Lonchura striata: one gene and its partners. Each later gene encodes a partner of the first gene's protein in a complex. Links are inferred from orthologs where the notes say so. Each region holds a gene or a part of one and is shown in the gene's direction. Other genes may lie near its edges.

Region 1 (7,404 bases):
GTGATACCTGAAATAATTGAGAAAAAAATAATGGAGAAAAATCTCTCCTTTTGCCACAACTTGAAGGAAATAACAATGCAGTTAATTGACAGTGAAATCTAATTCCAAAGCTAATGATGCCTGCTTGTGTTATGTTACAATAAGCAATGTCAGGCCTGGTATTTACAAGTCTGCCAGCTGTTCTGCAGATGTTTGACTGACAAGCTTAGTTCTCAAGCTGGTTTATAGATGGTTTCTTGGTAATATTACCTGCAGGGAAAAAATGTCAGGTGCACTAAACCTCTTGTGTCTTGTAAACCACTGCAAATAACTTGGATATTGTGCCCATAGAGCTTCTCTGTATCTGCATTTATACACTCATTTTGTGTTTAAACTCCAATCTGGCCTTATTCCAGCCGAGATGATTGACAAGCTGACCTTGACGTTCAACCGCACCCGCCAGGCCGTCATCACCAAGGAGCTCATTGAGATCATCTCTGGTGCTGCTGCTCTGTGAGTATCTGTATGAACGTGCAGTCAGAGCTGTTGCAGTCATGTGCTCTTGTGTGCCAGGGTAACAGGCAAACTTTGGGATTGTAGGTCCTAAAACCAGAGGGAAGGCAGTCCCTGGCATGGCTCCCAAGCTTTTCAGCTTGCGCAGTTCTACTAACCAGAGCGAAGTTGGCAGTTTTTTCTGATCAAATGCAGTTTAAAAGCTGGTAAAATAGATCTTCAGCCTCACCAGGCATCCTTGCCTGGAGAGGTGAGGATTTTCCTTCTGGCCTTTGGTGGATTTCCCCCCTCTTCCTTTTTACCTGGACATTTCCTGCTTTGCCTGGTCAAATAACCCAGTAGTGTTGAGTGGGGGAGAGCAAATGATGTGACTGAAATGCTTTTGGATAAATCAGGTGTTCAGAAGCTGAGAGTTTGGGTCTGGGTTTACAAAGAGGGAATTTCCGGAATCTTTTATATGGAATATGTATTTTACTTGAAATTTAGTATTTTGCTTGTTTGCCTGAGGATGAGGCTTTGTGCAGGTGTGTGCTGCAGGTTACAAATGTGTGGGGTTAGACCACAATTTGTAACTGCATGTAGCTCACATGTACTACTGTAACAGTTAAAAATTTGTGCTCTGTACGGAAATACATGTGTTCATATCCTGTGTATTTACAGAATGCCTGGAATATGTACTTTATATTATTTTGGTGCTGTATTGTGCTCCTCACAATACATTTGTGGTCATAAATCCGTGCAGTTTTGCCTGAATTTGCATGAGTTGCTTCCTAACCTGCTTGTTTTGTTTTTTCTCATAATACCATAACCAGGGATTAATCGGAAAAAGCGGTTCAGCCAAATCCAAGAGGTAAAGTTATGTCATAGAAGTTGGATTGTGTTTTAAAATTAATTAACACAGAAAATACAAAGTTAGATGAGGAAGACAGAATTAAATGGTCTTGGTCAGACAGAAGCTTTCCTTCCTAAAGAGCTGTGAAATTGGACATTTTTAGTTTGAATTTGTCCAAAGAGTTCTTATTTTTCAGTAATTTTAAGGAAAATATGTCCATGGTAGCATAATCCCAGATGAGTTATAATTTTCTGTGGTTTTTTTTTCTCTATTGTTGGATTCATTTGCAATTGCTGTTTGAATATTTGTATAGTGGTCTGACTTTATGCAATTACTTAAAGGTGTCTGTATGTCAGACATACATAAAGAGGTTTCTGTATTAACATGAACATATTCAAAATCTAAAATGTAAGGAAAATTTCAAAATTTAAAATGTAAGAAAAAAATAGATGTGATGAATCGTTGGGGGGTGGTGAGGAATATTAATGAAGTATTCAAATTGGGGAAAATAGCAGTTTAAAATAAATAAATAGATGAAAGGATTTTGATTTGTTTCAATTTTATTTACAGGTGAAGAGGAGCTCTTCTGAGCATATGTGGTTTAGCCTGCCTGTGTCTGTGTTAACAAGACTGCTCTGTTATCTTGTGAAGAAGTGGAAAAGCCCCAGAAATTTGTAAATTCGTACAATAAACGACCTCCGTGAAACAGATCCTTTTGCTTGTCTGTGGAGCAAATGCTCTTGGAGTCTAAATATCTGGGTTGGGCTTGGGTGTGCTTTGAAACTTTGTTTCTTAGAAGTCTGTGCTCTATACTTTTAGTTTATATGCCATGTGAAACATGTAAGTGGATGTTTCTTTTGAAGAGTGGAAGAGATTTTCTAACTTCACCCTGTCTTTGAAAATGATCTACTTTGAGAGGTACATTGTATTGTGGGCTCAAGGAGGAGACTGGAATAACCTCTGCATCACACAGCTAGAACACTGATATCTCTTATTTGAATTTTGTATTGCTACTGTTAGCAGATGTTGAATTTTTAAAATTAAGTGATGTGATTGGTTGAGTCACTACAGAGGTTATTTAGAATGCACAGTTTATTGCATGGTCAGTGTGTGTATAGAAATGTAAATGTTGGAGGACTGGGGCACCTCTCCTGAGGAGAGTTTGTTCTCAAACCCTGAGAGTTTTCAGCCTGGAGAAGGTCCCAGGGAGACCTTTCAGCATCTGAAGGGGCTCCAGGGGAGCTGGAAAGCGACTTTGGATAAGGACATGGAGCAGCAGGATGAGGGGCAATGGCTTTAAACTGATGGAGGGCAGGGATAGATTGGATGTTGGGAAGAAATTCTCTACTGTGAAGGGGGTGAGGTCCTGGCACTCGTTGCCCAGAGAAGCTCATACTGGTCCCAGTATGGAGCTCTGAGGGCACCACCCTCAGGACCTTGAGCTGTTAACCAAACCAGGAGCTTCAGGACTTTGTTCGGGGTCCAGGTCCTGCTCTTCAGGCAGCAGATGTGAGATGTGTGACTGACACAACAGACTACTCATAAACTAAAGTGCTAATTTATGAACTAATTAGGGTTTCATACTGGAGTAATAATATAGTATAATAGAGTTCTGTTATTTACAGTTCTGTCCTCCATGCTCTTGATTAGTTACACACAACTACTGAGTTACAGTTTAGCTCTTGTGTATCTCCACAGGTACCACTGAGTAAGAGCTGCGCTGCTCCTTCTTGCACCTCCTACACCACTCAGTTACTGTAAATTTTGTTTCTGGATCCTTTTTGCCACCGGAGTTCCATCCTTTTCCCTACTTGTTTTTTTTTCCCCAATTAAACAAGTCATCGAGAAACAGTTTTTTCCTTATTGCTGCCAATTTGGTGTTCCATCCAGCTGGAAAGAAAAAAAAAGGAGAAAAATAACCTCCCTGGGCAGCCTGTTCCAGGGAGAAAAATAACCTTCCTGGGCAGCCTGTTCCAGTGCTCTGCCACCCTCTGCGTAATGAAGTTCTTCCTCCTGAGGAGGTGAAACTCCTTGTGATTTGGTTTTCTTATGGTCATTGCTCCTTATCCTGTCACTGCTCATCACTTAGAAAAGTCTGACACCATCCTTTTGACAGCTCTCTGAGATATTTATTTAGAGATATTGAGATTATTTATAGAGACCATAGAATCACAGGATGGTTCGGGTTGGAGGGGACCTTAAAGATCACCTTGTTGCACCCGCTGTGATGGGCAGGGACACTTCACTATCCCACCAGACTTTCAATACCACCACGAATGAGACATCCCCAGCTTCTCTGGCTACGCTGTGCCAGTGCTTCATCACCCCCACAGTGCAGAATTTCTTCCCCATATCCCATCAAAAACTCCTTCTCAGTTCGAAGCCATTGTAAACAGCCTTGTCGCATCCTTCCTGTACGATCCCTTGGGGCAGTGGGGGACATTCAGCGGCGCTGCGATACCGAGAGTGGCCCGTGTACCGTGTCCCGCTGCGGTACCGACGCTGACACATGTACCGTGTCCCGCTGAGGTACCGACAGTGGCAGATTTACCGTGTCCCGCTGCGGTACCGACTGTGGCACACGTACCGTGTCCCGCTGCGATACTGACACTGATACATGTACTGTGTCCCGCTGCGGTACTGACAGTGACCCGTGTTCCGTGTCCCGCTGCGGTACCGACAGTGACACATGTACCGTGTCCCGCTGCGGTACCGACAGCGGCACATTTACCGTGTCCCGCTGCGGTACCGACAGTGGCCCGTGTACCGTGTCCCGCTGCGGTACCGACAGTGACACGTGTACCGTGTCCCGCTGCGGTACCGACAGTGACACATGTACCGTGTCCCGCTGCGGTACCGACAGCGGCACATTTACCGTGTCCCGCTGCGGTACCGACAGTGACCCGTGTTCCGTGTCCCGCTGCGGTACCGACAGTGGCCCGTGTTCCGTGTCCGACCCCGGCGTGTCCCGCGCGCTGCGGGCCGCGGCCTCGGTTGCTGCGGGCGGCGTTCCCGCGCTCCGCCCCGCTCGATGCGCTCGGCACTGGAGCGGCGCTGCCTGGCGGGGGCGGGGCGGCGCCAAGATGGCGGCGGCGGCGGCGGGCGGTGCGTGAGAGCTCCCGCGGCCCCCGGCCCCGGCGGGATGTGCGAGACCTACTCCCGCTGGCTGCTGCGGGTGTCGGTGGCGCAGATCTGCCAGGCCCTCGGCTGGGACTCCGTGCAGGTCTCGGCCTGCGACCTGCTCACCGACGTGCTGCAGCGGTACCTGCAGGGGCTGGGCCGGGGCTGCCACCGCTACTGCGAGCTCTGTGAGTGTGGGCTGGGGCTGGGCCGGGGGGATGCGGCTGGACGCGGTCCTCGGAGGCCTCAGTGGGTGGCCCTGCTTGAGCAGGGTCCGGGCTGAGTGAGCTCCGTGAGCCCTGCCGGGCTCGGCCATCCTGCCAAGGAAACAGCGCTGGACACTGGCGGGCCAGGGCAGGAGCACGGGGTGCGGGGCTTGGGCAGGGCAGGAGGGCACAGGGAGGTGGTGTGGGCAATGCCGGGGCTTGGGCAGGGCAGGAGGGCACAGGAGGTGGGTTTGGGCAGCATTGGGGTCTGGGGGACAGGGCAGGAGGATACAGGGAGGTGCTGTGGGGCACTGCTGGGGCTTGGGCAGGGCAGGAGGGCACAGGGAGGTGGTGTGGGGCACTGCTGGGGTCTGGGGTCAGGGCAGGAAGGCACGGAGAGGTGGGATTTTGGTACTGCTGGGGTCTGGGGGACAGGGCAGGAGGGCACAGGGTGGTGAGTTTGGGCAGGGGTCTGGGGGATAAGACAGACAGAAGGGCACAGGAGGTGGGTTTGGGCAAGCCAAGGGTCTGGGGGATAGGACAGAAGGGTACAGGGAGGTGAGATTGGGCAGGGGTCTGGGGTACAGGGCAGAAGGGCACAGGAGGTGGGTTTGGGCAGCATTGGGGTCTGGGGACTGGGCAGGAGGGCACAGGAGGTGGGTTTGGGCAGCACTGGGGGCCCTGGTTGTGGGGAAAGGCTGTGGGGTAGCATTGTGGAGGTGTGGGGAGGGCTGCTGGAAGCTGCTGCTTGTTGAAGAGTGCCAGGAGCTGGGGATGCTTGGCAGAGGAGGGTCATGGAGGTGTGGTCATTTGGGCAGGGCAGAAGAGTGCGGGGAGGTGGGATTTGGGCAGTGCTGGGGTCTTTGGGTCAGTGAGTGGGTTTATGGAAGATCAGCCCATGGGCTGGGGGCTCTGGGGAAGGGGAGCTGGGCCATGGGGCAGTGCACAGGACTGGGAGGATGGGGAGGGAAGGCATAGGGTCAGTGCTGAAGCAAGGGGGTCCTGGTGCCACGGAGGACTGTGGGGCAGTGGGTTTGGGTATGGGTGAGGAGTTGGGACTGTGGGGCTGGGGTTGGAGGAAAGGAGGCTCTGTGGCAGTGGGTCTGGAATGTGGGAACACGGGGGTGCTGTCCCACTCTCTCTGGCTACAGCGTGCAGGGTGCTGGGAAGGGGGAGAGGGGAGTTTTGGCTCTATTGCTGGGATGTTCTGAATCTGGGAAGAGATTGAACTGGAAGGAGAAGAGGCAGCCAGCCTCTTTTCCTGGTGGGATGTATACATGGGAGGATTTGGTGCTGTGTTGTCGTGGCTCATCTTTGGGTCATCTTTTGTGCCTGAGGGGGCTGTAGGGGCCCACTGCAGGTGGAGATGTGTGTGGGGTTTCCTATTCTGGCCCAAGGGGAAGTGCTGAGGATGGAGGGTGGAAGGCTTGGACTCCCTCCTGCATGGGGAGGGAGTGGTGTGCCTGGAAGTCCTGTTGCTGGGGTGCTCTGGGAATGTTTGTGTACAGGGGGGAAGCAGTGGTACTGTGGGACTGGGGAATGTGTATGGGGAATGTGGGAAGGCAAGGATGCCCTAATGTGTTTTGGGGGAAGTGGAGCTGTAGTGCACAGGATGTGGGAGTGTGGCATGGCTGCACATGGGAATTGTGGAGTGCAGAAAGGGTGGATTTGGGCTGGGGATAATTTAGTGCACATGGCATGAGGTATGGGTGTCCTTGTGTGGAGGCAGAGGAAGAGATTTGGCTGGATGTGTGGGGGACTGGAGTTAGCCAGCTCTGCCATGGAGGTGGTACAGAGGGAGCTGGAAGTGATGGTGGAGGGCAGTGGAAGTGATGCCCAAGGCCTCACTGGATTTGAGGTGAGGTTGTGTTGGGCTGGGAGCATGGAAGGGCTGAGTTTACAGGAAGTGGGAGAAGAGAAAGAGGAGAAGCCTGGGAATCAGTGCCAAGGACTGCTGGCTGGATCACACACAGGAGTGTGGAATGGGATTGGGAAGGGAGCAGCACTGTTGGGTCTGGGTGTATGGTAGAGGATGCAGTGTTGTGTCCCTGCAGAGCCTGCAGTGGAGCTACTGAGGGGTTGGATGTCCTGCTGTACCTGCAGAACATGGGGGGTTGGAGGGTGGGATGTCCAGTTGCTTGCTTGGTCAGTCATGCTGCCAGTGGGGCTGAGAGGGTGGTAGGGGTGTGCTGGGTTTGGGTGGGTCAGGAAGGGGTGGGGAGGTGGCAATCTGCAGGGAGAGGGAGGCTGTCAGGGTCACTGCCAGCTCTAAACACAGGAAATGTGGGGAATGAGGAGCAAGGCTCAGGCTGTGGGTGTGGTGAGAGGGTCATGGGTCTGTGTGTGGAGGCCTTTGCTGCCCTCCATGTGGGACAGGGAGGGTGTCATGTGGCAGAGATTCGTATGCAGAGATGGGGTTGCCAGTGCTCCTGCTGCATCTGTGAGAATTAGGAAGGAGATGAAGGGGGATCTCCATAGCAGAGGGACTTTGGGGAGCAGGTGTACTCCGGAGAGGTGGGTGTAGGCTGTATGCCTGGGAAAACAGGGCTGCTTGTGCCTCCTGTGCCAGGAGGGACATGTTCCCCTTTCCTCTGGCATGCTGGAGAGCTGTGGCATTGTAGGCAGCTGCTGCTCCATGAGTGATGGGGAAATCCTGGAGGGCCCCTGGGGCAGAGGTCAGAGCAGTTGGGTCTGGCAGGGGTTGGAGCTGGGATGGATAATTGATTGCCTGAAGTCCAGGGTAGGGAGAAGGTG
Region 2 (7,303 bases), on another chromosome or scaffold:
CCACAAGTTCTGCTTTACCCACTTTACCCAAGTGCCACTGAGCAAGGAGAGTCTGATGCTCCTGACCCAGCCCTGAACACAGAACTGCACCGAGCAGAGCAAGCAAGCAAAAACTTTCCAAAACTGCAGGACAAGATCACACAGAGACAAAACACTGCAGAGTCCCAGCCAGTAACTGCAGCCTTTGAATTCTTAAAGAAGTACTTAGGAAACAATTCCCAGCACAAGCACCTTCAGCAATCCCTGTGCTCAGGTGTGTAATTAAAGAGGGTTCAGTCCCACAGCGCCGTGTGCACGGGAGGGTGTGGAGAAGGTTTAAAGTGGGTGAGATGATTAATCACAGCAGCAGGATGAGGGGGAGACCCAGCATTGCCCTGTTCTGCGGGAATGCAGCAGGAGCAGCTCCTTTGTGATGGGGAAAGGCAAGAGAGGGAAGCACCTTGCTTGCACAAGGCTGGGTTAGCTGGACCTTGGAGCCCCCCGGTGATCCTGCTGCTGTCTCTGCCGGACACTGCAGGACTCACTGTGTGCTCACCCACACGGCCTGGGGACACCTGGAGGGACAGACAGACAGCCCGGCCCTGACCTCGGACAGGGCAATCCCCCCCTTCCCCAGGGGGAAATCCTTGGCACCGTGTGCCTTCCCCGGGGAATGGCAGCAGACAGGCACAGTCGGAGCCTTCCCCAGGAGGCACCATCAGATCCCTGCTGTGAACCATCAGCAGCACCAGAACAAATAGCAAACCCCACTTTTAAATTTTTTCTGATTCCTAACCACCCTTGGACTGTTGGAAGCCACCTCAAGTGTTCTGCCATCCTGCCACATCACTCTTTAAACCAACCAGACCCCCTCACCAGCAGCAACAGCTGAAAATGGGCTGGAGCAAGGGTTGTGGCTTCTCTGGAGCAGCACTCGACCCTTCCCACAATAGACGTGCACCCAAACTCCTCATCCCCAGCAGAAGCATCTCCCTGATACGCTCCCTGGGGACTGCATATCCCATCTGGGGCTCAGCAGCAGCCTCAGCTTCCCCCTCTGGCAACACAGATCCAGACTTTTCACAGCAATAGATGGAAATAAAAAGCTGCTTCTGCAGCTTTGGCTTTAACACAACCCATCCCTCATTGCTCCTGGCAAAACCTCCTGAATGCAGCCTGATAGCTCAGCCACAGACTGTTTTGTTGTTTCCCACCCCTAACTTCACAGTAAACCACTAAAAAAAAAAAACCACAATACATCAAATTCTGCAGCCTCGATGCAGAAGTGGCTCATAACCCCAAGGAACCTCAAGGATTCACAGACCATCTCTGATTTCTGGACTTGCTGTTGCTCTTAAGCCTCAAGCTGTGCATGCACAGAGTGGGTTTTCTCTCTGGCTCCTCACACGGAGCTCCTGCCTGTGCCACGGTCCATGGCTGGAACCGGAGAAGCCGGGCCTGGCCAGGGAGCCAGGACCTGCTCCCACTGCTGGGCCAGGCCTGCAGCAGCTCCCCAGGCCCTGGCAGATCCCAGGGGCTGCGTGGACGCCAGCAGGGAGCCGAGCCTTCCAAAGCCTGGCAGCCATCACCTCTTTGTGAGCCCACCATCTGCTCTGGCAGATCCACACTCCCATTTCCCCCTCCTGCATCCTCCTCGTTTCCCCAGCTCTCTGTCAGCACTCCCCATTCCCATCAGCTTCCCATCAGGATTTATTCTCCTGCCCAGTGCCCTGAGTGTTGCACCTGGCACATTCACCCCTCCAGAGACTTAAATTGTCTTTGGAGCTCCTCCTCCTGTGGATTACCCCACTCCATCCCATTCTGTTTCCTGCTCACCTGCAGCCATAGGTGATTGGAATCTGTGCTGCCTCCACACCCAGCGGGCCCTGCTCAGCCTGGGAAGGAGCAGCACAGCCCAGACTGTGACAAAGTTCACATTTAACTGATAACAGACCAATGGCAATTCAGGTTACCTGATAAAACACCACATTGCAAGGAATTTACTGCCAGGGCCATCTTCTACCACTTCATGGAGCAGCACTTGCTCTCTTTGGAAGAGAAATGGCCCAAACCAGTGAGTGCCAGCTCAGAGCAGGTGCCAGCACAGCATGTACCAGGTGTAATGTGGGAATTCCAGGGAATGCCTGGTTTGTACCCCATCCAAAACTATATCTTTGAGACACTGGAAAGGCAGAACTGACAAAAAGAGCTGCAACAGGCACCTCAGGAGAGAAGAGCTTTGGGAGCAGGTTATCCAAACAGTGGGACTTAAACAGAAACTAAAATAGGGTCCTGAAATCAGGCAGAGAAAAGAACAAAGGTAGCAGCCCAGCAGAGTGTTTATGTTCCTGCTCTGGGAGTGGAGAGCAGCTCAGCAGCTCCTGTGTCAGGAGAGATCCTTACGGACACGAGGAGCCTTGGCAGGAGCAGGGATCAGCCTGAGCAGGGTCACGGGCTGCCCAAGGAAGGGAAAACACAGAGCACACAGGCCTGACTGAGGGCAGGCTTCTCCCCACAACCAAGGAGGGCAAAATCCTACATCAGAAAAGTTCCCATGTTCTAGCATTGGAAAAGGTGATGTTTTCTCCACCCTAAAATTCATCTGTCTGGTCCCTGCAGCCTGTCCCAGCCTGTCTCCTGCACTCCCTGGCCTCTCCTTGCAGGGACACTCAGCAGCTGCTTCTCATCAAAACCTCACCACGAGCTGGAGGAGTCCATAACAGAGCCAGAGCCCAGCAAGTGCTCGGGAGGTGGGAAACAGTCACAAAGCTCCTAAATAGCACCAGGTGGCAAACAGGACACGTTGCCATGCCCCACAGTGTGCAGCCAGACCAGGAACTGCTGTCACAGGCACAAATCCCAGCTGTACAGAGAAAGGGGCAGGTCCAGTGTCACCAGCAGCTACAGCCATGGTTGTGAGCATGGAAAACGAGTGACAGCTGTGACAGGCACCCTCCTTCAGGCTGTGCACGAAGCAGTGTCCACATGTGAGAAACAGTAACAGGTCAGAGCCAAAGGGACAGCCGGGCTCACTCTGGCACCACGGGACTGCTCCAGGACCATGGCACCACGGGCACTGTCCAGGAAAAGGCAGAAAAAGGCCCCATCGTGCCCAGGTGCTGTTGGGCACTGGCGGATCTGGTTCAGCTCACAGGGTGTTCAACTGCACTGAGCCACTGCACTGATCTGAGGCCCCTGTGGGCACATCCATCCCACTCCAACAAGGGCTCAGACTGTTTAATGTAGCAAAAGAGAAGAACAAAGCTCGACCCAAGGGTAGATTTACGTTTCAGAAAGGCAAACGTGTGCCCCAGGGCAGGGTGAGCTCTCGCATGCCTGCAAGCTTCTGCCACCAGCACAACCTGCAGGGATCCAACTGGTTTATGTGAAAGGAAAAACAGATGAAATTTGGCCAAAAAGGGGCAAGTCACATCTCTCTGAACAGCCAGGTTGTGTAGCAACAGTATCACTTGGCACTGGACACAAACCTCCTCCACACCTCCCGTACAAACCAACTGCTCAGGGACCAGGAGCATTCCCAAAGTGCCCAAAGCTGCAGCTCCAGCAGCGAGAGGTGATGCCAAAACACGAGGAAGAGAAACAAAAGTCCAAGAGCTTCAACCAGCAAATTCCACAGCATGGGGCTGAGGACGAGCCGAGCCCAGGCACGACAGAGTGTCACCGCCAGCCGCGACAATGCCAGCGCAGGGCCGGGACACCTCGCGAAAGTCATCCCGCAGCTCTGGCAGTGCGGGAGCCTCCCCGGGCACACCGCAGCTCCCAGCGCCGCAGCGGCTGGTGCCAGGGGGGACGGGCAGCACCCAGCGCTGGCACTGCCGGCTGCAGACAGCTCGAAAGTCACCCACTCCCCTCTCCGGAGGGCACAGCAGCCCGAGGAGCTCCCTCTGGCACGGCCCCCCGGCATCACCGGCCCCACCAAACGCTCAGGGGTGCGCAGCTCCCACGCCCCGCTGCAGTGTCCCGTCCCAGCCGGGGAGCAGAGCGGGGACAGACCCCGGCCTGCCCCGCAGCGCTGCGGCCCCAGCAGCCCCCTCGCTGCACCCCAAGATCCAAACCCCCCAGACGCCCCCAGCCCCACACACGCCACCCGCGGCTCCCGCTGCCCTCCCGGCCCGCAGCGCCGCAGCCAGCGGCAGCAGCCCCCGCCGGGCCGCGGATCCGTCCCCGGGCCGCGCTCACCTCAGCAGGCTGGACAGCGGGTGCCCCACACCGCCGCTCCCGCCGCTCCCGCCGCCGCCTCCCCCCGCCGAGCCGCCGCCGCCGCCCCCGCCGGAGCCGCCGAAGCCGGAGCTGAGGCGCTTCCCCGAGAGCAGCTTCTCCACGGCCGGGAGGTTCCCGGTGCGGGCGGCCTCCAGCAGCTCCTGCTCCTTCCCCATGGCCGGCGCGGCCCCGCCGCCCGCGCGACTTCCGGGGCGGGGCCGGGGCGGGCCGGGGCGGGGCCTCGGAGGGCGCGGCCCGACGGGCGGGGTTTGATGGATGGGCGGTGCGGGGGCGGGGAGCTGTAACGGCCACGCCCCCCGCGGTGCCCGCCGTGCCTCGGCCGCGCCCGTTTCGGGCGGCTCTGGGGAGTTTTCCCCGCGGGGCCGCCCTAGCGCCGTGTCCCGGCAGGGTCCAGGCGTGCGGAGGGCGGCTCGGAGCGGGGTTGGTCGGTCCGGGCGCGCAGAGCCCGGGGGTGAGGCCCGCACGGGGCCCCCTCCGCAGCCCCGCTGCCATGGCGACAAGCCCGGCCCCGCGCGTCATTAAGCTGCGCTGCCGAGTCGCTGTTGCCGCGGCAACAGGCACCGCCCTCGTTGTCATCGGGACGCGCTGTCGCACCTCCGTTGCCATGACTACAGACGCCGTGCCCCCCCGCCTCGCCGGTGCGCGTGCGTCATCACGAGGCGCCCCGCGTCACGTTCCCGTGGCGATAGGCCCCGCCCCTCGCGGCGCCCGCAGTGTTTCGTCATCAGGAGGCGCCGCGGGCGCGGCCATGGCGGACCCGGCCCGGGACGCGCTCGGTGCCGCCGCCGCTGTGCCGGAGCCGCCGCCCGCAGCCGCCTCCCCGCCCGAAGCGGCGGCCGCAGAGGCGGCGGGAGAAGGCGAGGTGCGGGAGGCTGGCGGCGGCAGCGAGCTGAAGGCGGAGGTGGCGGACGGGGAGGTGAGGCGGGAGCGGGAGCGGGGCCGGGGCGGGCGGCGGGGCCGCAGAACGAGCGCTGCGCTCCCGCCCAGGTGAGGAGCGCGGAGGGGGAGGCGGCGGACGCGGAGGAGCCGGGGCTGCAGGCGGGTGCGGCCCGGAAGGTGAAGCTGGAGCTGAAGGAGCGGAAGGAGAAGAAGCAGAAAGTGGACGAGGACGAGATCCAGAAGATGCAGTGAGTGCCTGCGGGTTCGGGAATCGTGGCCCCGGTGCCGCAGCCCCCTCCAGATCCCCCTCCCCGCCTTCCAGCCCGGCGCTCCCCGCTCCGGCCTCCGCGGGGCTGGGAGCGATCGCTGCGTGCCCCGCAGGATCCTGGTCTCCTCCTTCTCCGAGGAGCAGCTGAACCGCTACGAGATGTACCGGCGCTCTGCCTTCCCCAAGGCTGCCATCAAACGGGTACGAGAGCGGCCGGAGCCCCGGCGGGGCTGGGCCACGGCCGGTCCCGGGGGGCTCCAGCTCCAATCCCCGCAGCGGGAGCTGGGGCCGCGGCTCCCCGAGGGGCTGGATGGGCTGGGAGGTCACGGGGGTGGGGATCTGACTGTCCCTGTCCCTGTCCCAGCTCATCCAGTCCATCACCGGCACCTCCGTGTCCCAGAACGTCGTCATTGCCATGTCGGGCATCTCCAAGGTGTTTGTTGGGGAGGTGGTGGAAGAAGGTGAGTGGCACCTTGCTGAGAGGCTAGGGTGAATTCCCTGCTTGGAGCAGGGTGTGGAACAGGATTTTCATGGTTCTCCAGCAGCTCTGGCTCACAGCAGAAGCTGCCACAGCCCCTCTGATCCCCCAGCACTGCTGCTTCTCCTCAGGAAGAGAAGCTGGGCTGGCAACTCCGTCCCTCAGCCCCAGAGCAGCTGCATGATGGGGATGCCATTAGTGCTGCAGGGACAGAGTGGCTCCAAAGCCTCTAGACCTGCCCCAGTTCCTTTGTGGGATGAGCTCAGATCAGTTTGGGACAGGGAGCTGAGCCTGCTCTTTCTGCTCAGCTGTTGGGGCTCACAGCCCACCCACCCCCAGAGGCTCTGAGCTCCTCCACCCCCTCCACAGTTCCTGAGGGGTTCAGCAGCTTTTTGTCCTGCCTGCTGCCCTGGGACTCCTGTCAGGGAGGAGGAGCTGGTGCAAACCCCAAGCACAAACATTTCCTGTTCCTTCCCAACTGCACTGAAGCAGCAGCAGGGGCTGGGCAGAGCTCAGCTGGCCCCTGCCCTGACCTGTGTGTCTGTCTGTCTATCTGTCCAGCTTTGGATGTGTGTGAGAAGTGGGGGGAGCTGCCCCCCCTGCAGCCCAAGCACATGAGGGAGGCTGTCCGGAGGCTCAAGGCACGGGGGCAAATCCCCAACTCCAAGTACAAAAAGATCATTTTCCACTGAGAGAGGCTGAGATAAGCTTCCTGTAGGACCTTCCCACGTGGACTCTTCCCTAAGGCCCTTTTGGGGTGACCTGTGGGACCTCAAGGATGTTCCTGCTGTCCCTGCCTGTGCTGGGCAGAGCCTGGATGCACCCTTGACCTGGACTTTGGGGAGAGCAACATCCAGGGGCTGCAGAGCATTTTCTGCTGGCCCAGATGTGCCATCTGTGCCCAGATGTGTGGGTTTTCTTTTCAGTGCATTAAACTTATTCTTGTGTTCATAACCAGGCTGGGATCTGCTCTTTGTGTGACCCAAGGTGCTCCCAGAGCTGATTCCCTGGGAACATCTGAAATCAGGGTTCAGCTGTGCTTCCAAATCCAGAAGCTGCCCAAAAAACAGCAGCAGTGGGAAGAGAGGGGGAGGGAAAAGCAGGAAAAGAGGCCAGAGCCTGGAAGGAGGTTAATGAGTTTAATTCTGCTCGTGGTTCATAGAACCAATAAACCCATCAGTGGAAACAAACTGCAGCAAAGTTGCAATACTGCCTAAAATTCAAATTCAAGTTCAGACTTGCACATTGCCCCTGTCCCCTTCCAGGGGCCCTGGGAGCTGCTCCTGACCCTGTGAGAGGTGCTGAGACCACGTGCTCTCCCATGGCACCTGTGGGCTCTCACTGGAACAGAGGAAGAATCCTTAAATAAGAGGCTCCACAAAGTAAACTTTGATATTTACAATCTGTGGGGACCCAGGAGGTTTTGTCCTCCCACACGTGTGGGTTTTGGGTTACAC
Region 3 (6,300 bases), on another chromosome or scaffold:
TGCACCGGTTCCCCACGGAGCACAAGGCAATTAGCAGAGCCAGGGCCAGGAAGGACGCAAAGCTGGCACGAGCATCGTTCCACCTGGGCGTGACACCGGCTGTCCTGCGCCAGAGATACAACATGACAGGGGGGGATGTGGGGCTGCTGCCCAACAACAGCCAGGCCTGTGCACAGGTAAGCACTGCCTTGTCAGAGGCATGTGTACCGGGGCAGTCCAAGGGTTTGGTGCTGGTCTGGGGGTCTTGGGACAGCTGGGTGTCCCTCAGTGGCTGCTGGGAGCACCTGGTGTAGCACAGACCCGTGCTGGGCAATTTCCTACGTCAGGATCAAAGCGTTACCTTGTTTTTTTGAGAGGAGACAACCTGTCCCTCTGTATCCCACAGTTTCTCGAGCAGTACTTCCACCAAGCTGACCTGGCTGAGTTCATGCAGCTCTTTGGCAGCGGCTTTGCCCACCGCACGCAAGTGGACCGGGTGGTGGGGCACCAGGGCCGTGGCAAAGCCGGGCTGGAGGCCAGCCTGGATGTAGAATACATCATGAGCACGGGCGCCAATGTCTCCACTTGGGTCTTCAGCAACGCAGGTACTGGGGAAGAGCCACGAGGGGCAGGGGGAAGGAGAGCACCCAGAGAGAGGAGGGGAGGGCCTGGAGCAGGGAAGGGAACATTTGGAGGTTTGAGGGAGGGGGCTGGAACAAGGGAGGGGAGTGCTGGGAGGAGTGAGGGGAGAGCTTGCAGGGCTGTGCAGACAACTGGCTGTAGTACTGCCCAGGTGCATCCCCAGCTGCTGTGGGAGCGGACCCTGTGTGCTCCCCAAGTCAGAGCTGGCACCGCATTCCCAGCTCCTAGGGACATCACTCCTGCTGTGTGTGGTGACTTTGAACTCTGTATACCTTCAATCTTCAGAGTATCCTGAAGCAGGGTTTCTGTTGCTAGCACCATACAGAGCAGCTGCCCCACTCAGCTCCATGAAGGAGGGCACAGCCCTCCTCCCGTGGGGTTTTCCAGCTCTGCTGCAGCTGAGCTCCCACCCACGAGCCTTCCAGAGGAACAGATGAGGGAGAGTGAGGGAATTGGGAAAATAAATTGCCAAACAGCCTACACAAACACAAACAGGGCACAGTGCTAGGGGCAGTGTCCTTGTCCCAGACTGGGAACTGGCTGAGCAGGTGGGTGCCACAGGGACAGCAGCCCTGTCCCTGATGGTGACGGTGACAGCAGATGAGTGCTGCCCTTCCCTCCGTCCTCACACAGTTACTGGTATGGGAAGGATGCAGATGAGTGACATGGGTGACCGAGAGTGAGTAGGTGTGCCTGGGACGCTGCTCCCCTCCCAGTGGAGAGGGCTGGGAACAGGGAGGGACCTGGGCAGGTGCAGGTGGAATGTGTGGAGGTGGCACATGCGCTTCTCTTCTGGGACCTGTTGCCAGAGGAGGAGCTGAGGCCCTGCTGGGCCCACAGGTGCCCATGTGGCTGCAGCCCTGGGGCAGAGTCTCAGAGAGGAGGTGTGAGTGTAGCCCCCTGTCCTGGGCTGATGACAGTCTTGCCAACCCCATGGGCTGAGCTGAAGCTCAGTGCTGTCAATGTGAGGAGCCCCAGGATGAGCTCACGGAGCTCCAGGCCGGATGTGCTGTGACTCCATGGCCCACAGGAAGGAGCACTTGGAGCTGCACTGCGAAGGAGGGTGCTGGTGCTGATGAGGCAGGGCTCCTCGCACTGTCTCCCACTGTCGCTGATGTCGGAGGAGCTATCCCACGTGTCCCTTCCCCGATGTCCTTGCAGGGCGCCACGAGAGCCAGGAGCCCTTCTTGGCCTGGCTGCTGCTGCTCAGCAACATGTCAGCGCTGCCCTGGGTGCACTCGGTGAGCTACGGGGACGACGAGGACAGCCTGTCCTACGCCTACATGGAGCGTGTCAACACCGAGTTCATGAAGGCGGCGGCCCGCGGCCTCACCATCCTGTTTGCCTCAGGTGCAGCTGAGCTCGAGCACCGAGTGGGGCTGGGGAGGGGGTGCCTGGGGCGCCGTGCTCACCTGTCACCTGTTCCTGTGTTGCAGGTGACGACGGTGCTGGCTGTCGGCGAGAGCATGGCGGGAACCACACGTTCCGGCCCAGCTTCCCGGCCTCCAGGTGGGTGCGAGGGGTCAGCACAGCCCTGCGGAGGCACAGCCGGCCCCGGCCCCAGAGGGGTCTGAGCTCCTGAAAGGTCACCTGAGGGTCCTCACCAGCAGTCGTACAGAGCCCAGAGCTGCAGCCTGTGCAGCTGCGGGATTGGTTTGGTCTGTGGGGTGAAGGTGTGGTAGCAGAGGGGGCTGTTGGTGGCTGCTAAGGCCCAAGCAGCCTTGTGCCCACCGGCAGTGTCCCCCTGCTTCCCCAGCCCCTACGTCACCACCGTGGGTGGCACGTCCTTCAAGAACCCCTTCCTGGTGACGGAGGAGGTGACGGATTACATCAGCGGGGGTGGCTTCAGCAACGTCTTCCCCATGCCCGAGTACCAGGTGAGGGACACCAGTGCCGCCAGGCTGGGGGCTGCAGACGGGGCTGCAGGGTTAGGCTCGGGGGGGACAGTGGCCCTGGGGATGCCCACAGGCCGTGCTATCCCCAGGCCGCTGCTGTTGGGCATTTCCTGCACTCAGCCTCGAAGCTGCCGCCCAGCTCCTACTACAACAGCAGTGGCCGTGCATACCCCGACCTGGCTGCGCTCTCTGACAACTACTGGGTGGTGACAAACCGCATCCCGCTGCCCTGGGTGTCGGGAACCTCGGTAAGGAGCTCACCCCCTGCTGCCCTCCAGCACGGCGGGGCCCTGGGCTGAGCGGTTGTGCCCACGCAGGCGTCCACACCGGTGGTGGCAGGCATGGTGGCACTGATCAATGACCGGCGCCTGCAGCGGGGGCTGGCACCCCTTGGCTTCCTCAACCCTGTGCTCTACCAGCTGCAGAAGCAAGGGCTTGGTGATGCATTCTACGATGTGAGCAGAGCAGGGAATGGGCTGGAGGGGCTGTCCTGGGGGCTGAGGGGACTTCGGGTGTTCTGATGTGTTTGGCTGAGGCCTGGGGTGGGCCCATCCATGGGGCTGGGAGGGCCGTGTGTGCTCCAAGGGCTGTCCTGGGGGCTGGGGGTTGTCCTGGGGTTCCTGCTCCCAAAGCTGTGCCTGGGGCAGGGCCAGCAGTGTCCTGCTGGGGGGCAGGAGAGAATCCCTATGGCGTTCCCATGGGAGGGGGTCCTGGGGTTGGCCTCGACGTTTCCATGGGCGTGATATCCTTGGGGGTCCCTATGGGCTTCTGTGAGCTCTGTGGGGGTCCCCATGTCAGATGTCTGGGGGCCCCTGTCCCCAGGATTCCTGTCTCAGGGATGGCAGGGACAGCTGTCCCTGGGTCCTGGGGACTGCGGGCAGGGTCCCTGTGCCCATGCTACCCCTGTCCTGGGTGGTCCCTGGGCCCTGGGATCCCTGTCCCAGGCCTGTGTGGGGCTCGGGTGCTCCAGAGGTCGCTGTCCCGAGACTTGGGGGGCGTTGCCGCGGTCCAGTACTGAAGCTGGTCCCCGCAGGTGATCCAGGGCTGCCACCTGTCCTGCCTGGATGGCACCGTGCAGGGCCAGGGCTTCTGTGCCACCCCCGCCTGGGACCCGGTCACGGGCTGGGGCACCCCCAACTTCCCGCGCCTGCTGCGGGCGCTGGGGCCGCGCTGACCGGGGCCCCGTGGCATGACCGCGGTGCCGGGCAACGGGGCACGGACAGCGGGACCGCACGGACAGCGGGACCGCACGGACAGCGGTGCACGGGCCGCGGGACCGGACAGCGGGACCGGACAGCGGGACCGGACCGCGAACGCCGCGGAGCTGGGGGCGGAGCTGGGGGCGGAGCTGGGGCGGCGGGGGCGGAGCAATAAACAAGCGAAGCCCCGCCCACCGCCTCTGTTTGGACCCGTGCGGGGCGATGAGCGTCGGAGGGCTGAACCAATGGGGGGCAAGGCGGGGGCCCAACGGGGCCAATGGGACGGCGAGGGGGGCGGGGCGAAGGAGCCGCGGGGCCAATGCAGCGGCTCGGCATGCGCAGGCGCGGAGCGGGCTGGCGCCGGGACCATGAGCGGCAGCGGCGATCCCGACCCCGCGGCCGCGGCTCCGGCTGCCCCGCCGGGCCCCGCCGACGGCAGCAAGCCCAGCCCGGCCGCCGCGGGAAGCGCCGGGCCCGGGGCGGCGCCGGCTGCGGGGGGCGGTGCGGCGCGCGCCGCCGAGGGCTGTGCGGCCGGCGGGAGGGGGCCCGGTGAGTCGCGATGGGGGCGGCGGGAGATGCGCCCCGCTCACGGGAGCCCCGCGGGACGCGCTGAGTTACTCGGGCCGTGGGAGCGGCCCCCGGGGTGTTCCGGGGTGCCCCGGGTCCCGCTGGGCGTGTGTCTTGCGGTGCCGGTGCTGTGCGCGGGTCTAGCTCTGCCCGTGCTGTCCCGCGGTGCCGGTGCCGTGCGTCGTTCTAGCGCTGACCGTGCTGTCCCGTGGTGCCGGTGCCGTGCGCGGTTCTAGCTCTGACCGTGCTGTCCCGCGGTGCTGGTGCCGTGCGCCGTTGTAGCGCTGACCGTGCTGTCCCGTAGTGCCGGTGTCCGCGGCCGTGGCCGCTCCCCCGGACGGGGCCATGTCTAACGGTGTGTACGTGCCGCCCGCGGCCAACGGCGACGTGAAGCCGGTGGTGTCCACCACACCGCTCGTGGACTTCCTCATGCAGCTGGAGGACTACACTCCCACGGTACCGACACACAGGGCGGCTCCCGTGGGACGGGACGGGATGGGACACGGGGCAGGTCCCGCGGTACTGGGGTACAGCGCGGCTCCTGTGCCACGGGACATAGGATGTAGAAACGCTCCGCGGGGCTGTGCAGCTGTTCCAACTCTTCCCTCCCAGATCCCGGACGCCGTCACAGGGTATTACCTGAACCGGGCAGGGTTTGAGGCCTCGGACCCCCGCATGTGAGTGGCCGCAAGCTGGGGGGGAGAGGCAGGAGCCACGCAGGGTCCGGCAGAAGGGCCCGCGGACCCTGTTGCCTCACCAACACGGTCCCTGTCCCGCAGAATCCGCCTGATCTCGCTGGCGGCTCAGAAGTTCATCTCGGACATTGCCAATGACGCGCTGCAGCACTGCAAGATGAAGGGCACAGCCTCGGGCAGCTCCCGCAGCAAGAGCAAGGTGAGGGGCTGGGGGGAGTGGGGAGCCCTCCCTTGGGATGGGGCTGAGCCGCAGCCACCGAGTGCAGGAATGTGGGGTGTAGAAATCCCAACATCTGCGGGCTTATGCTGGGTCCCTGCGGGCGGGGAGGGGCTGGCGGGGACACGATGGGGGCATGGAGCTTGTGGACACCCTTTGGTGCCCCTCCACCCCAGCAGTGGTTGCAGCTCTGGGCTTGGGGAGGAGCTGGAGTGAGGGGTGCTGGGGACCCTCCTAGTGCCATATCTGGGGATCAGGGGCTCCGCAAGGCCAGTAGGATTTGGTGCTAGTTGTCCAGGGATATCTGCAGGGAGGTGGGCATACCCCAGTGCTGCCCAGCAGCTCCTCTGGCTGTGGGACACGCCTGTCCCTGCACTGTGGGGGGTCCCACGGCCCCGGCTGTCCCTGCTGTGACCGCCTGCCCCATGTCCCTCAGGACAAGAAGTATACGCTGACCATGGAGGACCTGACACCGGCGCTGGCTGAGTATGGCATCAACGTCAAAAAGCCGCATTACTTCACATAGAGCACGGGGGAGCTTGGGCAGCTTGTAGGGGTAGTGTCAGTGCCATTAAACACCTCACAGGGTTTTGTGGGAAGGCAGCCTTGCTCCTGTGCCTGCGTCCTCAAGTGCTGGCCCTGGTCCTCCACGTGCTCACCCCCCTCTGCTGGTCAGAGGGGGCTCGGTGCTCCCAGCAGTACTGGAGCAGAGTGGGGTTAGGGCACAGGGACTGCCCAGCACTCTTCCTTCTCCTCCTTCCCTAAACTGCCCCTTGTCTCCCACAGGGAACACCATGGGGGCTGCACAGGCAGCACGACAAATGGAGCCAGGGATGGGACCCTGAGCCCACCCCTCCTGCACCAGGCCCCTCCCGAGGGGGCCCTGTGCCTATCTACCCTACTTGTGCTGGGCACCAGAGGGTTGCTGTGGGTGGTGACTTGTGCCCAGGGCTCTGTGGGCTGCAAGGTAGCCCCATGTCAATCCAACCCCACCCTCAGTCCTAGACATCCCCTGTGAGTCTCAGCCCCCCAGTCACTCCAGCCCCCCACCCCAAACAACTCCCCCCATTCCTCCGCCCCGTACCCCAGCAGCTGGTTCCATACCA

The links. The genes of interacting proteins can lie anywhere in the genome.
Region 2: TAF3 (region 1) and TAF11 share a complex: the UniProt entries of both Homo sapiens proteins name them as parts of the TFIID basal transcription factor complex. The link is inferred for Lonchura striata from reciprocal best matches to the Homo sapiens genes TAF3 and TAF11.
Region 3: TAF3 (region 1) and TAF10 share a complex: the UniProt entries of both Homo sapiens proteins name them as parts of the TFIID basal transcription factor complex. The link is inferred for Lonchura striata from reciprocal best matches to the Homo sapiens genes TAF3 and TAF10.

What each region holds. Positions count from the first base shown.
Region 1 is NC_134607.1:68,967,008-68,974,411, reverse strand, and holds the start of TAF3 (transcription initiation factor TFIID subunit 3), read left to right. Parts: upstream 1-4,399; 5' UTR 4,400-4,466; coding exon 4,467-4,632; intron 4,633-7,404. Other genes in the region: ATP5F1C (ATP synthase F(1) complex subunit gamma, mitochondrial), read left to right, coding at 396-492, 1,305-1,311. UniProt on the Homo sapiens protein: The TFIID basal transcription factor complex plays a major role in the initiation of RNA polymerase II (Pol II)-dependent transcription.
Region 2 is NC_134632.1:4,361,425-4,368,727, reverse strand, and holds TAF11 (transcription initiation factor TFIID subunit 11), read left to right. Parts: upstream 1-4,969; coding exon 4,970-5,137; intron 5,138-5,208; coding exon 5,209-5,348; intron 5,349-5,481; coding exon 5,482-5,569; intron 5,570-5,732; coding exon 5,733-5,829; intron 5,830-6,407; coding exon 6,408-6,538; 3' UTR 6,539-6,800; downstream 6,801-7,303. Other genes in the region: ANKS1A (ankyrin repeat and SAM domain-containing protein 1A), read right to left, coding at 4,180-4,376. UniProt on the Homo sapiens protein: The TFIID basal transcription factor complex plays a major role in the initiation of RNA polymerase II (Pol II)-dependent transcription.
Region 3 is NC_134604.1:116,987,400-116,993,699, reverse strand, and holds TAF10 (transcription initiation factor TFIID subunit 10), read left to right. Parts: upstream 1-4,083; coding exon 4,084-4,264; intron 4,265-4,586; coding exon 4,587-4,738; intron 4,739-4,894; coding exon 4,895-4,959; intron 4,960-5,061; coding exon 5,062-5,176; intron 5,177-5,630; coding exon 5,631-5,720; 3' UTR 5,721-5,797; downstream 5,798-6,300. Other genes in the region: TPP1 (tripeptidyl-peptidase 1), read left to right, coding at 1-176, 386-584, 1,783-1,971, 2,058-2,130, 2,378-2,498, 2,606-2,764, 2,834-2,971, 3,550-3,690. UniProt on the Homo sapiens protein: The TFIID basal transcription factor complex plays a major role in the initiation of RNA polymerase II (Pol II)-dependent transcription.